Oryzias latipes: one gene and its partners. The protein of the gene in region 2 binds, or shares a complex with, the protein of the main gene of each other region. Links are inferred from orthologs where the notes say so. Each region holds a gene or a part of one and is shown on either strand. Other genes may lie near its edges. The genes, in order: thoc7, thoc2 and sarnp.

Region 1 (4,023 bases), on a different chromosome or scaffold from region 2:
TTATTCCACATTATCCTGCAGATTGCTGGCATGCGTCTAGCTGATCAAATCCCCCTGGTGATCCGTTATGAAATGCTGCAACAATCAGCCAGCCAGCTCCAGAGAGAGATGCTGCAGATGATTCAGGACAAGGAGAACTTGGATTTCCTGCTGAAGGAGGACTTTGACATCGGCAGTAAGAGGGCTACTTTGCAGAATCGCCTTAAGCGCCTTTTGCAGGCCCGTGCATACCTAGTAGAGTTCTAAAAACTTTGAAGGATCTGTTTTCTGCATCTCCAAATTACATGTTAGTGTAAATGTTCAGTTGTTGTGTTTGGGTAGTCCAGTAGAATCTGCTGTTTCTAACAGGAATGATTATCTTACAGCAGCAAAAGTCATTATATGGGCACACAGATGTTTTCCTTTTATATATTGTTATAATCACCTCGAGTGTGGAGCATGTTTTTATGTTCATTGTTTTATTTGGGCATATATATAGAGGGAAATTATTATCAGTCTGTGAACTTTGATTTTTTTATTTTTATTTGAAACAATAAAAGGGAAAACCAGACAGAGCGACAGAATCAAGAGAATTTTATTCAAAAATACATACGAAAAGCATTCTGTCTCACAAACCCAAACTCATTTAAGAACATTTCATTCTGTTCCACTGTTATTCACTGTTCCCTGCAGGGCTCTCTTGACTGGCATCTTCAATATCTGACTTCTCATCATCTAAAAGAAGACAAATTTTGAGTTTAACTTTTTGAAACAATTTTAAAATCAGTTGGCATTAAGAATAAAGTGCTCACTCTCAAGTGTCTGTTGTAGCTCCTGAATGGTGGTAAGAAGAACGTGGAACTGCTTCTTCCTCAACTCCAACTATGGTGGAACAGTAAATTTGATAGAAAAAAACAACAACTTTAAAATAAATCAAATCATCAGCGAAATACACAGAAGCTGCATAAATTCTGTTTGGATATACCTTTGCATCCACATTCTCTTTGATGTGGGACAGTTGTTGGAGCTCTTTGTCAAGCGCCTCTAGCTGCCTGAAAGAAAATAAATAAATAAAAATGAAGCAAAACTGTTGTACGCTGTTTACAAGCAATCGAAAATCTGAATTAACGGAGCCACTTACTTGAGTGTTTCATGCCTATCTGGATGCTGCTGGATTACCTTGGCTAATGCATCATATTCTGGAAAAAATACAAACATATTTATAATACTCCAAGGATGTTATTGAAAAAGGACAATAAATAAAATATGCAATCCATATCAAAATATCCTTGCCTTGGCGATTTTTTCGTATCCTCTTTGCCCTCTGAATATCTTTTTTGCATTCTGCAATCTTCTCATGTGCAGATGTGATGTTTTGTTCTGCAATGGGGGGAGGGTGGGGGGGGGGGTATATAGATGAAATCTAATATTGTAAACAGAAATGCTTCCAGACGAGAGCAATAAAACCTCACCTATATTTGAATAGATCTTCTCATAGTTTTCCATTTCTCTAAGATTCATGTCATAAACCATCAACGTCTTTCCCATGGAAAACTCACACTGAGCCAGAGTGCCCAACATCCGCTGGTACTGTGTGAATCTACACGCAAACACAAGACCACAAGGAATTAAAGTGAGATTTTTTGTTGCATATTTAACAAGGAAGACACCATTCTACTCTTCGGGTATATAAAAACACATCATGGAAATGTATAGAAACAGCCTTTTGAAATGCATGGTCAGAGTTGAAACATTGTGCTGTGTGTCACACTCTGCTTGCCATAGATTGTAGAGAAGACAGTTACTCTTCTCCTTGGGTAAGTATAACTGCATGCAACTGAGACCCGTTAACCTTCTATGGAGTTTGATAAACTAGCTTGGAATTGCCTGTACACACAACGTAAGAACTAACTAATGTGACTTTTCTTTCGCAAGAAGAGTTGTTCGTAAATGCTAAATCACATTAAAATCTGGAAAGTAAATCTTCTGATGCGTCAGCTCAGACTCAGATTCATTCAGCACTGACCCTTCCTCCGGAGTCCCGGGCGAGTTGCACCATTTAGTGAAGCTTTTAAGCAGCAGGTTGATCCGGCGGTCATCTCCGGCTCCGTCGCCATCAATAAGAAGACGTTTCCGAATGACTTCATCTTTAACAGAAACGAAAGAGACAAGATAAACTATAGGCTAGATTGCAACCTGCTAATCTGAGCTAGCACTGCAGGGCAATAAATTAGCTGCACAGTTCTCCCAACTGATTGCGTAAACACTGCTACATTCTAGAAATAAGCTATTGTATACAATAACTTAACACATAAACACTTTATTTATTTTTAATAAAACTTTATATTAAACGAAGTAACCACCAAATTACCATCTGTTACGGCCCCCATGTTTGCAATGAGCAATACTATTTCCGGTAGAGCAAGATTCTTTTTCCAGGTTAAAATCAGCGGTTTCATTTTCTACTGCCCCCTATTGGTGGACATTCAATGTGGCAATTTTTTTCCCACATTTTTGTGCTTTTTAGACTCAACAGCAAAATTGAACTTTTATTATATTGCAGAATATTATTGGACTAAAAACCAATGACAGTTTAGAATACAATTGATTTTGTTTTATTTAACATTTTGCTTTTAAAAATGTCAGCTTACATTGTAGCATTACACATTGAATTTTAAATTCTAAAATGCATTTTTTAGATTGAATGCTTAAATTGCAAGCTGAATTATCAATCGAGAATGGCACATTACATATTTTGTTTTACCATTAAACCATTCATTTTTACCATGTAGCATTTAGATATTAAAATAATTGAATTATGAAAGTTTTATCATTTTCTTTCTATTAAAATATTAACTTCCTTTACTTTTGACAGCAGCATATATAGGTTCCTTTCAAACGAAATAAACCTCATGTCAAATTAAATCCTCCAACAGACTCACTTGAATAAAACATGTAAGAAAGTCAGGTCAAACATAGACTTTTCTATCAGTCAGACTTTGCTGCATATTCGTTCTTTTCTACTTTTATAGTCATATATTAACATGACAACATTGGAGCAGAATCCAAATAAAAGAAAGTTTAATAAATAAATTAAAAAAAAAAAAAAACAACCCCAAAACATTATTAGTAACTCAAATCGTTAGCGTTTTTTTTTCAAAACCAAAGAGCCACAATGGAATCATAAAGGAGCTGCATGTAACTCCGGAGCCTCAGGTTGCAGACCTCTGTTCTATAAGAACCTTTAGCTACTAAGTGGCTATTGAGGACAAAGATTTCTATCTAGCTTTAATTTCACCATTTATAATAATTCATAAATAGTAATGTTACTGGTACGGTTATAGGTACAATACCTGCTTCAACTATAGATTTAAACAGGTTTTCATTTGGCCAACATATTTTCTTGGTCACCACTTCCTCGTTTTTTTTCTGACAGATCAATTCAGGTCTGATTTCATGTTTGTTCCTACACCTTAGAAAATTACAATGAAACTTGTTTGAAACTTAATGTGCTCTATTTCTCACCAGAACACCAGCCGTGTGGGCAAATAGAGTTTTGTTATTTAACAAAGGTTCACGCGTATATTAGATTTACAGGAAAACAGTACAAACTTTCAGCAGTTTGCCAATTAGAAATCAGAGGTTAACATATTCATGCCTAGATTTAACCAAACATTTTAAGTGGGAGTGTGTTATGGTTTTGAAAATACAAGCAAAGCACCTTTTTTAACAATCTCAAAAAGGATTTGGATACAGTCATTATGTGCAGATTCAGCACTTAGAACACCCTCATGGCTAGTGTCCACAGTTTAAAATAATTAAAATTTTGATTGCTTCAACCTCTTTTAAAATCTCACCAGAAATCTTCTAAAAAGCTTACATCAAATGATTGTGAAAGTCACTTTATAACTTTTCAGTTTTATCTGAAGGCAATCCTTTGCAGATGTTGAGCTTTGCCAAGAACTTCAAAGTTGACCCACTGATGCCACCCAATCCCGAGTGTTCTCACAGAAGATAAGATGTTCTCGCCTAGAATTTCTAGAT
Region 2 (3,650 bases):
ATGTGGGACATGACCTGCAGTTCAACAGCTTGTCCCTGAGAATTAATCTCATCTTTGTGTTGCTTTGACAGCCATTGCATTAAAATGTCACTTCTGATTCCTCTGTGAAGCATAATCAAATCCCAAATGTCTTTCATTTTACCATAAAATCTCTATGACGACTTTTGTTCACTTGAAAAATGTCAAGCAGCTCCTGTATAAACCAGTAAAAAGCAGCTTGTAACTCCTGTAATGCTAAAACTTCCTGTCAAAAGGACAGAAAAGCTAAATCGGAGGTTAAAGTCCCACATTAGGCAGGACATCATTCCTGGCGTTCCATTGGGAAAGCTCACTTTGATGGTTAAAAGCCGAGGCAGATTAACATAAAAGCACAGGAAGCTACCTTTACCCACAAGAAACCCAACTGATGGCTGCAACTTTTTTATCAAACTTTATGATAAAAAAATCACAGCCTGCTATAAAACTTGATGTTTGATATTAAAATTAATATCCTCTTATCTCAGTTCATTTATTTTTCACATTAAACTGCATTAAACCTTCATCTTCTGCTCTCTACGCATTTCTTTTTCTTATTTATGAAGTAAATCTCCTTCTTCACATGTGCTGCAGTGTAGTTACATTATGCATGTACCAATGCTGATGAATTCTTTGGGTTTAACTTATTGCTGAAATGTCTAAAGCAGCCAGCAGATGTTGGTTTCACTAATCTCAGCTCCTCACCTTTTCCCTGCTTTCAGCTGGTTGGTGACATACTGCAGGAGGCCCGCCAACTCAATGGGGTATTTTCTGAACACGGCTCCACACAGACTCGCCAGACCTGGGTTCACAAAGGGTCACACCTTCATTAAAGCAGTTCACCTCTTTCAGCGTGTAAATGGATGATGTAACCGCCGCTTACTCTGGAGCCACGAGGAGATGGTAGTGTCGTCATGCTTCATCTTCTCCTTCTCTGGATTGGCCAAAGCCTCAATGATGCAATCTGAAGACAACGTTAAGTGGAGCAACACAGACAGGTGGAACCTCTCCATATTTAGAGCTCTGCCTAATGCAACACATCCTTTGAGAGCTTCTGAGTTCAAAACATGTGATGTAGGATACAGGCCAGGACATCATAGTTGAGGGACGTGAGAAATTTCAAGGAATCCACCACAGGAACAATGAGGTTGTCGTACCACTGGATTTGAGACAACATCTGGCAAAACAGAGGAGAAAAACTCAAAACTTCTTCAGGTTAGGGCTTTCTGACATGTCTATTAGCAAAACAACAACCGAAAAAGTGTGAAGGGTTTCTTCACCAAAAAGTGATACTTTTGGTGTTGAAACTCCAAGTAAAACAAATTTTAAAGCAACATTAGAACTAAGATCTACAGCCAAGTCTTTTTGGTCAGACTGTTCTGGTTAAGCATGATTTTAGACTCAAAAAACACCAGGACAGACAACTACCTGACCAAAGGAAGGCGGTTTAGGGAACGGCTTCCTTCTCCCATAAAGACCAGCAAAGACAAAAAACACTTTCATTCTCCTGAAAACCTTTGGGAAGTCCAGGAGGGAGAAAGTTCTCAATCACCGTCTAAATTACTTTCTAAACATCTTTCTTTTTAAGACAAAAATTATCAAAACTATGCCAACCTAAAATTCATATGATGAAAGCTAACCTCAAGGGCGGCTGAGTCTAATATTTGAGACGCTGCAGCAAAATAAACTGCATTTGCAGTTAAATGTATTAAGGCAACAACTGATATTACAGCATTCACAAAATAAGAGTTGATTTTTATCAGCTGTGTAAACTGGAGTAAATGCGATAAGCATTTATTTTTCCTGACTGTTTTGAGATTATTTATGGTAAAAGCTTTACAGTTGTCATATCTACAACAAATGGGTCAAATCATCTCAACCAATTTATCTGTTTACTTCACTGATGTTTGACAGTATATCACTAATGCAAGACACATCTGAACCAATCAAGGTTGCTGTACTGCCAGAAAGAATCCCAGATAGTCCGTCTCACCTTTTAACATAAAATAATGGGGACTTACATAATCAAAGAGGATGGTGGGATTGCTGTGGCTCAGTTTGCCAATCTGCCTTCCAGACTGTTTCACATTCTCTTTGGTCAAACGCCTTCAGAGGAGAAAGAAAGAACAGATTTTAAGACTAAGAACTAAACTAAGAGCTAAAGGAGCGGCGCTGGCAGCAAAGTTGTCACTTCTGCCGGCTTCACAGCAGATGGGAGATGATCACATTATCATATTAGAACAAAAAGCATCAGAATACTTTTCTAAAACAATCGTGTGTCTGCAAAGTTCATACAGACCAAGTACAAAAGAAAAAAGGTTAAAAGGTTCAATATGAAACAGTTCAACCAAAAAAGGAAGAAAAAAGTCATAATAACAAGTTTACTTCAGTTAAACTGGACACCCTTGTAATGATTTGACAATTTCAAGAGTTTTTCAAGGTATATTTCATAACTTTTTTCAGCTGTGTTTTGAGCTCTAATAATTTTTGTAAAAACAACCAAAGTACCGGTTATTCCTGTTTCGGTTAGCCAAACTTACATTCATCTTTGATCGCCTGCAATGGGACTTTGGTGTGCTGGGTGTATTTTTCTATAAAGGTTTGAACTTGACAATTTTAAACAAAAGTGTGTAAATATAAAAGTCTGGTTGAAAAACATGTATAAAGTTTGTTATATGGGGCTTTACAGCCTCAAAATATCTAAAATAAAAGTAAAAATAAAGATGACTACTTCACAGCTTTTTTGCCTGCAGGTTATTTTTAGAACATGACTCCCATGATTAACGAAGCTCCACGATGCATTTACACAGCATGTTGAAATAGTTGAGTACTAGACTGAAATAGTATATGGAATGTGATTTTATGTAAATAACTAAAAAAAAACAAATGTGTAGATTTCCAGAAACACTTCAGGGATCTAGGAACAAGTGACTTACTTCATGATATACTTTGCTCTTTCCACAGTCTGAGCTTTGACCTTTACCAGCAGCGGATGGCTTGAATACGTCTCATTCTTCCACTGCCCGTACAACCGGTACCTTTGGAAGACCAGAAAAGAGCAGAGGTTTCAGCTCCAGAGCTTTTTAAAATAACAAGCTGGTAACAGGGACAACCAACAGCAGTTATAGAATAATAGTGATTCCACCTTAAAACAGTCACAGACTGATAAAGCAGGTTTTAATCAACATGTCAGTTTAGTCTGCAAGAAGTGACCTAGCCATCAAATAATCATTATCAGCTCAAGTATGATAACTTAATTACGTGTCACATCATGCAGAGAGCAACATCTGTGTGTTAATGTCCTGTGTGAGTGTTTGTTCACCTGTGATGATAGGGAAAGAGTTTGAAGAGACCCCAGAGTTCCTCTGACATACAAGCATTACACTCCATCAAAGAGAGGGAGGGTAGCAGCACCTGGTCTGCAATGCTCAGGAAACAACTCAACAGTATTTCCTGCAATTATTATACGTAACATTAAGGTCACAACAAGTCGAACAGGTGTAGACGCTTGGAAAGACCATGAAAGGAATGCAACTGCTGCTCTCACCATCTTGTCTTTGACCTCAGGTCTGCTGTCACTTTGGTACTGAGGAGCAAGAACAGAGTCAACCTCTGATGCTGGAGCGCAGATGATG
Region 3 (4,265 bases), on a different chromosome or scaffold from region 2:
AAAGAATAGTTTTCCTCCATGTGGGACAATAAAGCTGAGAAAAGTTTCTTTTTTTAGACAATTGCTTTATCCAAAACACCTGACAGTAAAGACAGTAACCAATAAAAATCTAAGTGAGAGCATGAACAGCCATACAGATTTGTGCGTTTGGCACCAACCATCCCCGTGTTCACTGCGTCTGACCAGCGGACATTTTCGGATCTAAAGTGAATTCAAACCTACGCAGCAACACAAATGGACAGACTGGGCTCTCAGCACTGGCCTTGATCGAGCAGAAAATGACTTCTTGACGGAACTGAAGAGCAATAATCTACATGACAGGATGATGGAACTGTTTGAGGAAAGAGAGGAGGGTGGATTTTGTCATCAAATAATCTCATCTTCTGATGAGTGAACATCTAAATATCATAAATAAATTCCTAATTGATGTGGTTATGGTAGCGGTAATGTTTTGTGCTGGCTGTAGTTGCATAACAAGATTTGTTTACTGTTTTCTGTATTTAGAGGCACTGATTGTGGCTGCAGGAATTTTCAATCTGCAATGCAAAGCTAGTTTCTGCATCATAATATGGTTAATGAGGCGTTGAGTGATTCAGACGTTGCACTACTGAAGGCCCAGGTGTGTAATGCACGGTCCGCCACTGATGTTATCCTACCACTATTGTTATTTATTTTTTTGCAAAGTCACCATAATCCAGTCCTTATCAGAGTAAGAGCATATTATTCATCAAGTATGATGAATAATATGAATGGATGGAGTCCTTTAAAAAAGCAAAATATTTAAGTTTAAATAACTAGGTTGTGCTCTTATTTGGTTAAATTTAAGTTACAGATTCGTTTTTCCACTTTTTAGGAAAGATTTGCTTTATTTTTCAGAAAAATAGATGTTTTTGTATTAAACAGTTTGGCTTTAGCATCTACCCAAAGTGAGATTTCAGCAAAACTTAATCTAAAAACACCAAACCAAAGGAGCAAACACGAGCACAAAGGTGAAGTCTGAGGTCAACTAGTGTTTTTCTGAAGCTTTTCTCTTCTAAAATTAGATTTCAGAGCTCAGACGTGATCTAAAATCTAAACCAAGGTTTATTTGTGAATGAAAACGACTCATACTTACTTCACCAGCAGACAACGGAGGAGAGATTTTCACCACTTTCTTGTCTTCAGACCTGAAGGTAGAATTTATTTTCTCAAAAATTAAAAAAAAAACTAAGAACATGACAGTCCAGCAGATCCAGCTGAACTCTTTTTTGATGTTCTCATCTGAGCAACATCGACTGTAATTCCCTGAAAAGTTACTATCTTACAATAATAGTTAATGATAAACGATAACTTTATTCACACGCAAAGAGGAATCTGAAAGGTAAAGAGGAAAAAGCACATTTGTTGTACAGTTAACTTACTCTGGAATTGCGATTGTTTCAGTGTGGTTGTCCTCCTTTATGCTGTTGGAGCTCTCAACTTTAGTGAATTCCTAAAAAGAAAAGAAAAAAAAACAGACATACTGCTTTTGTGAAACAAACAAGCAGAAGAAACAAACCTGAACAATATTTCATGATAAAATTTGGAGTTTATTCAACTAAAAACTGTGTGTGAGCTGTGTCTGCCTGAAGAAATGTAATCAATAAAATGAATAGATTTGTGTATTTGACAAATCAATATTGATTTTCTCAACAAACATTGATTGAACGTTTCTGTTTTATTGCTAAACTAGAAGAGAACGGATAGAATAAAAGACATTACCGGTGTGTCCTCTGCCAGAACTTCATCAACATCCACATCGTCCTCTGTGGTTTGGATGACAACACAGACAATATGAGCTGGCAGGAAACAACATTTGGTTGATGTGCAAAAACGGGTCACCCGGTTCTCACCGTGCTCCTCCAGGTAGGCTTGGAGCCGAGCGATCAGCTCGCCCTTGTTTCCCTTGGTTTCCAGACCGCGGGCGTCACACTCTTGCCTCAGCTCAGCAAGCTGAAAGGGAAGATGAAACCTCAAATTAACAATTGGTTTTAAAATTTACTGACGTGATTCAAAAAAAGTAAAACATAGATCAGCCAACACCTGCTTGGAAATATTGGTGTAATTGAAACTATAAAAAAATATATATATATTTTTCCATCTCCACATCAGTAACCTTCTTACTATTCCATAAAACTCTGTAAACGAAAGGACGGTTCTTTTTTATTAAAGATAAATTTACCACGATCTGAAAGCACCTACATAAACTGATTTCATCATCTGTTGAACTAAATCAGTTTAAATTGATAACAATAATTTGTGCATTGTTAGAATTTTATTTTTCCTTTTATATATATACATATATATATATATATATATATATATATATATATGTATGTTACGATTACTTATTTTCAAAATGGTCGTTCATCACATTTGCTTTGAAAAGCAGAAATGCAGGATTGAGTTAAGTTAAGTAAAAAAAATCTCTCATTTTTATTTTGTCTTTCCAAACAGCGGTTGTGGTTCGGTCCATTTACCCACCTCTCGATTTTTGCTGTAACTGATTGTTTTCATTGTTTTACGTCGAACTTTATTACTGGTGGGTTGAAAGATAGTTTCTCAGATTATCCGTTCATTTCCCTCCGCGTTTCCTTCGTCGTTCTTTTAGCCCGGATTAGCTCAGAACACATGCCGGTTCGTAGACTTAAGACCCGGAGAACACGATTTTCTGCAGCCCGCCGCCACCCCGCTAGCTGGTTCCGGTGTAAATACTGACTTCATCATTTCCACCACAAAGAAATTCACCCAATGTCAGGAAAAACGTATTTTTAATTCTACCAACCTTCAGCTTTTGGAGCTCCACCACTTCAGCCATCTTTCTCTGTTGATGTATTCCTGCCGTCCAATCAGAGTCGAGCTTTTCTTCCTCTGTGCTCCTGAACAACGACGTCATTGATCACAACGACGTCATTGATCACAGCGCCTCCTGTCGGGCATATTAACGCCGTGCAGATGGTCCTGCTGCATTTTAAACAAACTTGTAGAGATTTTGTTCAAAATAAAAATTAATAAATCGCCGCAAAATTTTGTAAAAATAAATGTAAAAGACGTGTTAAGACCTTAACAAACTTTTTATTATATAAAATCATGATTAAAATGCGATTTTATAATACTTATTCAATTTAGCCTCAGATAAAAAGTGTTTACTAACATTTTTTATCCTTATTTATACTTTTTTCGTAGACATTCCTCACTGTTTTCTTTGTTCTCAGTTCATTTTATCTTATCTTTGCCATATAGATTGTGGATGTTTTTTAGAAGTTAATTTTCTTCTTTTATTTTCTTTACCTGGAGGAATAATGGAAGCAGTTTATGCAGTGGATCCACATTCATGTATTTGAGTAACAGCTACATTTAAATCAGTTGACATCATGCTGGAACTTTCTAAAACATGTATTTTTTTCAACCACATCTATAAAACACAATTATATTACTGTCTGATGAAAAAATTATTTGCTACATCCATGTGGCAAATAAATAAAGACTATTTTTCCTAATTTTCCATGAATCATCAGGTGTGGATCTTCACAGATCTAAAATGTCAGATAGGCCTAAAATGTCACCTTCATTGTTTAACACATTGGTTTCAAAACTATTAACTCACCTGACCAGGCCATGTTTGTAAAAAATAAATTCAGGCTGGACTGAGGAATCAAAACCATCTACAAGTCTGAGAGGTTTACAGAGGAATGCAGGTGCTTGTATGAAATGTTTGAACAATTAATGAGAGTTTAACCAAAAAAAAATAAAAATAAAATTCTAGTTTAAGCAGTTTTTCTGTTTTAGTACTACACACAACAGAGGTAAAACAGATTTTGTTCCTTTTTATATTTATGTTGCAGTTCTCGTGGTGAGAGAAAAAAAAATTCAATCACAGTACAACAATACTGAACAAAAACTGACAGCATTGACCTTGGCTCTTAAAGAGGGTCAGCTGACACACGCCACCGGCTGAAAGAACCCAACACCAGCGGGTCTCAGGCGTGGATGGACTGAGACACGAGGCGGGGTCAGGGTGAACACAAAACAGATGAAACGTGTTCAAACTGGATTTGCTGTGAATGCTGACATTGTTCAAAAAGAGGTTTAACCCAAGCTGCAGCTCGGCATACGATACACAGACAAAAAAAGTTCCAATAGACTGACTTTCAAGTTGTGGGCATGAAGGACAAAGCCGGATGAATTTAGGGAGTCACAAGTGCTTCCATAATCCTCATTATGGTTGCATTCCTTCCATTGTTTCA

What was found.
Region 1: thoc2 (region 2) and thoc7 share a complex: the UniProt entries of both Homo sapiens proteins name them as parts of the transcription/export (TREX) complex. The link is inferred for Oryzias latipes from reciprocal best matches to the Homo sapiens genes THOC2 and THOC7.
Region 3: thoc2 (region 2) and sarnp share a complex: the UniProt entries of both Homo sapiens proteins name them as parts of the transcription/export (TREX) complex. The link is inferred for Oryzias latipes from reciprocal best matches to the Homo sapiens genes THOC2 and SARNP.

Annotation. Positions count from the first base shown.
Region 1 is NC_019863.2:16,702,998-16,707,020, reverse strand, and holds thoc7 (THO complex subunit 7 homolog), read right to left. Parts: upstream 2,459-4,023; 5' UTR 2,439-2,458; coding exon 2,351-2,438; intron 2,127-2,350; coding exon 2,006-2,126; intron 1,580-2,005; coding exon 1,452-1,579; intron 1,360-1,451; coding exon 1,273-1,359; intron 1,179-1,272; coding exon 1,121-1,178; intron 1,032-1,120; coding exon 965-1,031; intron 862-964; coding exon 792-861; exon of another isoform or gene 715-791; coding exon 653-714; 3' UTR 557-652; downstream 1-556. Other genes in the region: interferon-induced GTP-binding protein Mx, read left to right, coding at 22-246. UniProt on the Homo sapiens protein: Component of the THO subcomplex of the TREX complex which is thought to couple mRNA transcription, processing and nuclear export, and which specifically associates with spliced mRNA and not with unspliced pre-mRNA.
Region 2 is NC_019872.2:16,163,390-16,167,039, forward strand, and holds part of thoc2 (THO complex subunit 2), read right to left. Parts: intron 3,602-3,650; coding exon 3,563-3,601; intron 3,469-3,562; coding exon 3,338-3,468; intron 3,054-3,337; coding exon 2,952-3,053; intron 2,122-2,951; coding exon 2,037-2,121; intron 1,193-2,036; coding exon 1,099-1,192; intron 980-1,098; coding exon 899-979; intron 818-898; coding exon 721-817; intron 1-720. UniProt on the Homo sapiens protein: Component of the THO subcomplex of the TREX complex which is thought to couple mRNA transcription, processing and nuclear export, and which specifically associates with spliced mRNA and not with unspliced pre-mRNA.
Region 3 is NC_019865.2:25,904,832-25,909,096, reverse strand, and holds the start of sarnp (SAP domain-containing ribonucleoprotein), read right to left. Parts: upstream 2,931-4,265; 5' UTR 2,915-2,930; coding exon 2,804-2,914; intron 1,972-2,803; coding exon 1,872-1,971; intron 1,785-1,871; coding exon 1,741-1,784; intron 1,472-1,740; coding exon 1,401-1,471; intron 1,167-1,400; coding exon 1,115-1,166; intron 1-1,114. UniProt on the Homo sapiens protein: Binds both single-stranded and double-stranded DNA with higher affinity for the single-stranded form. Specifically binds to scaffold/matrix attachment region DNA. Also binds single-stranded RNA. Enhances RNA unwinding activity of DDX39A.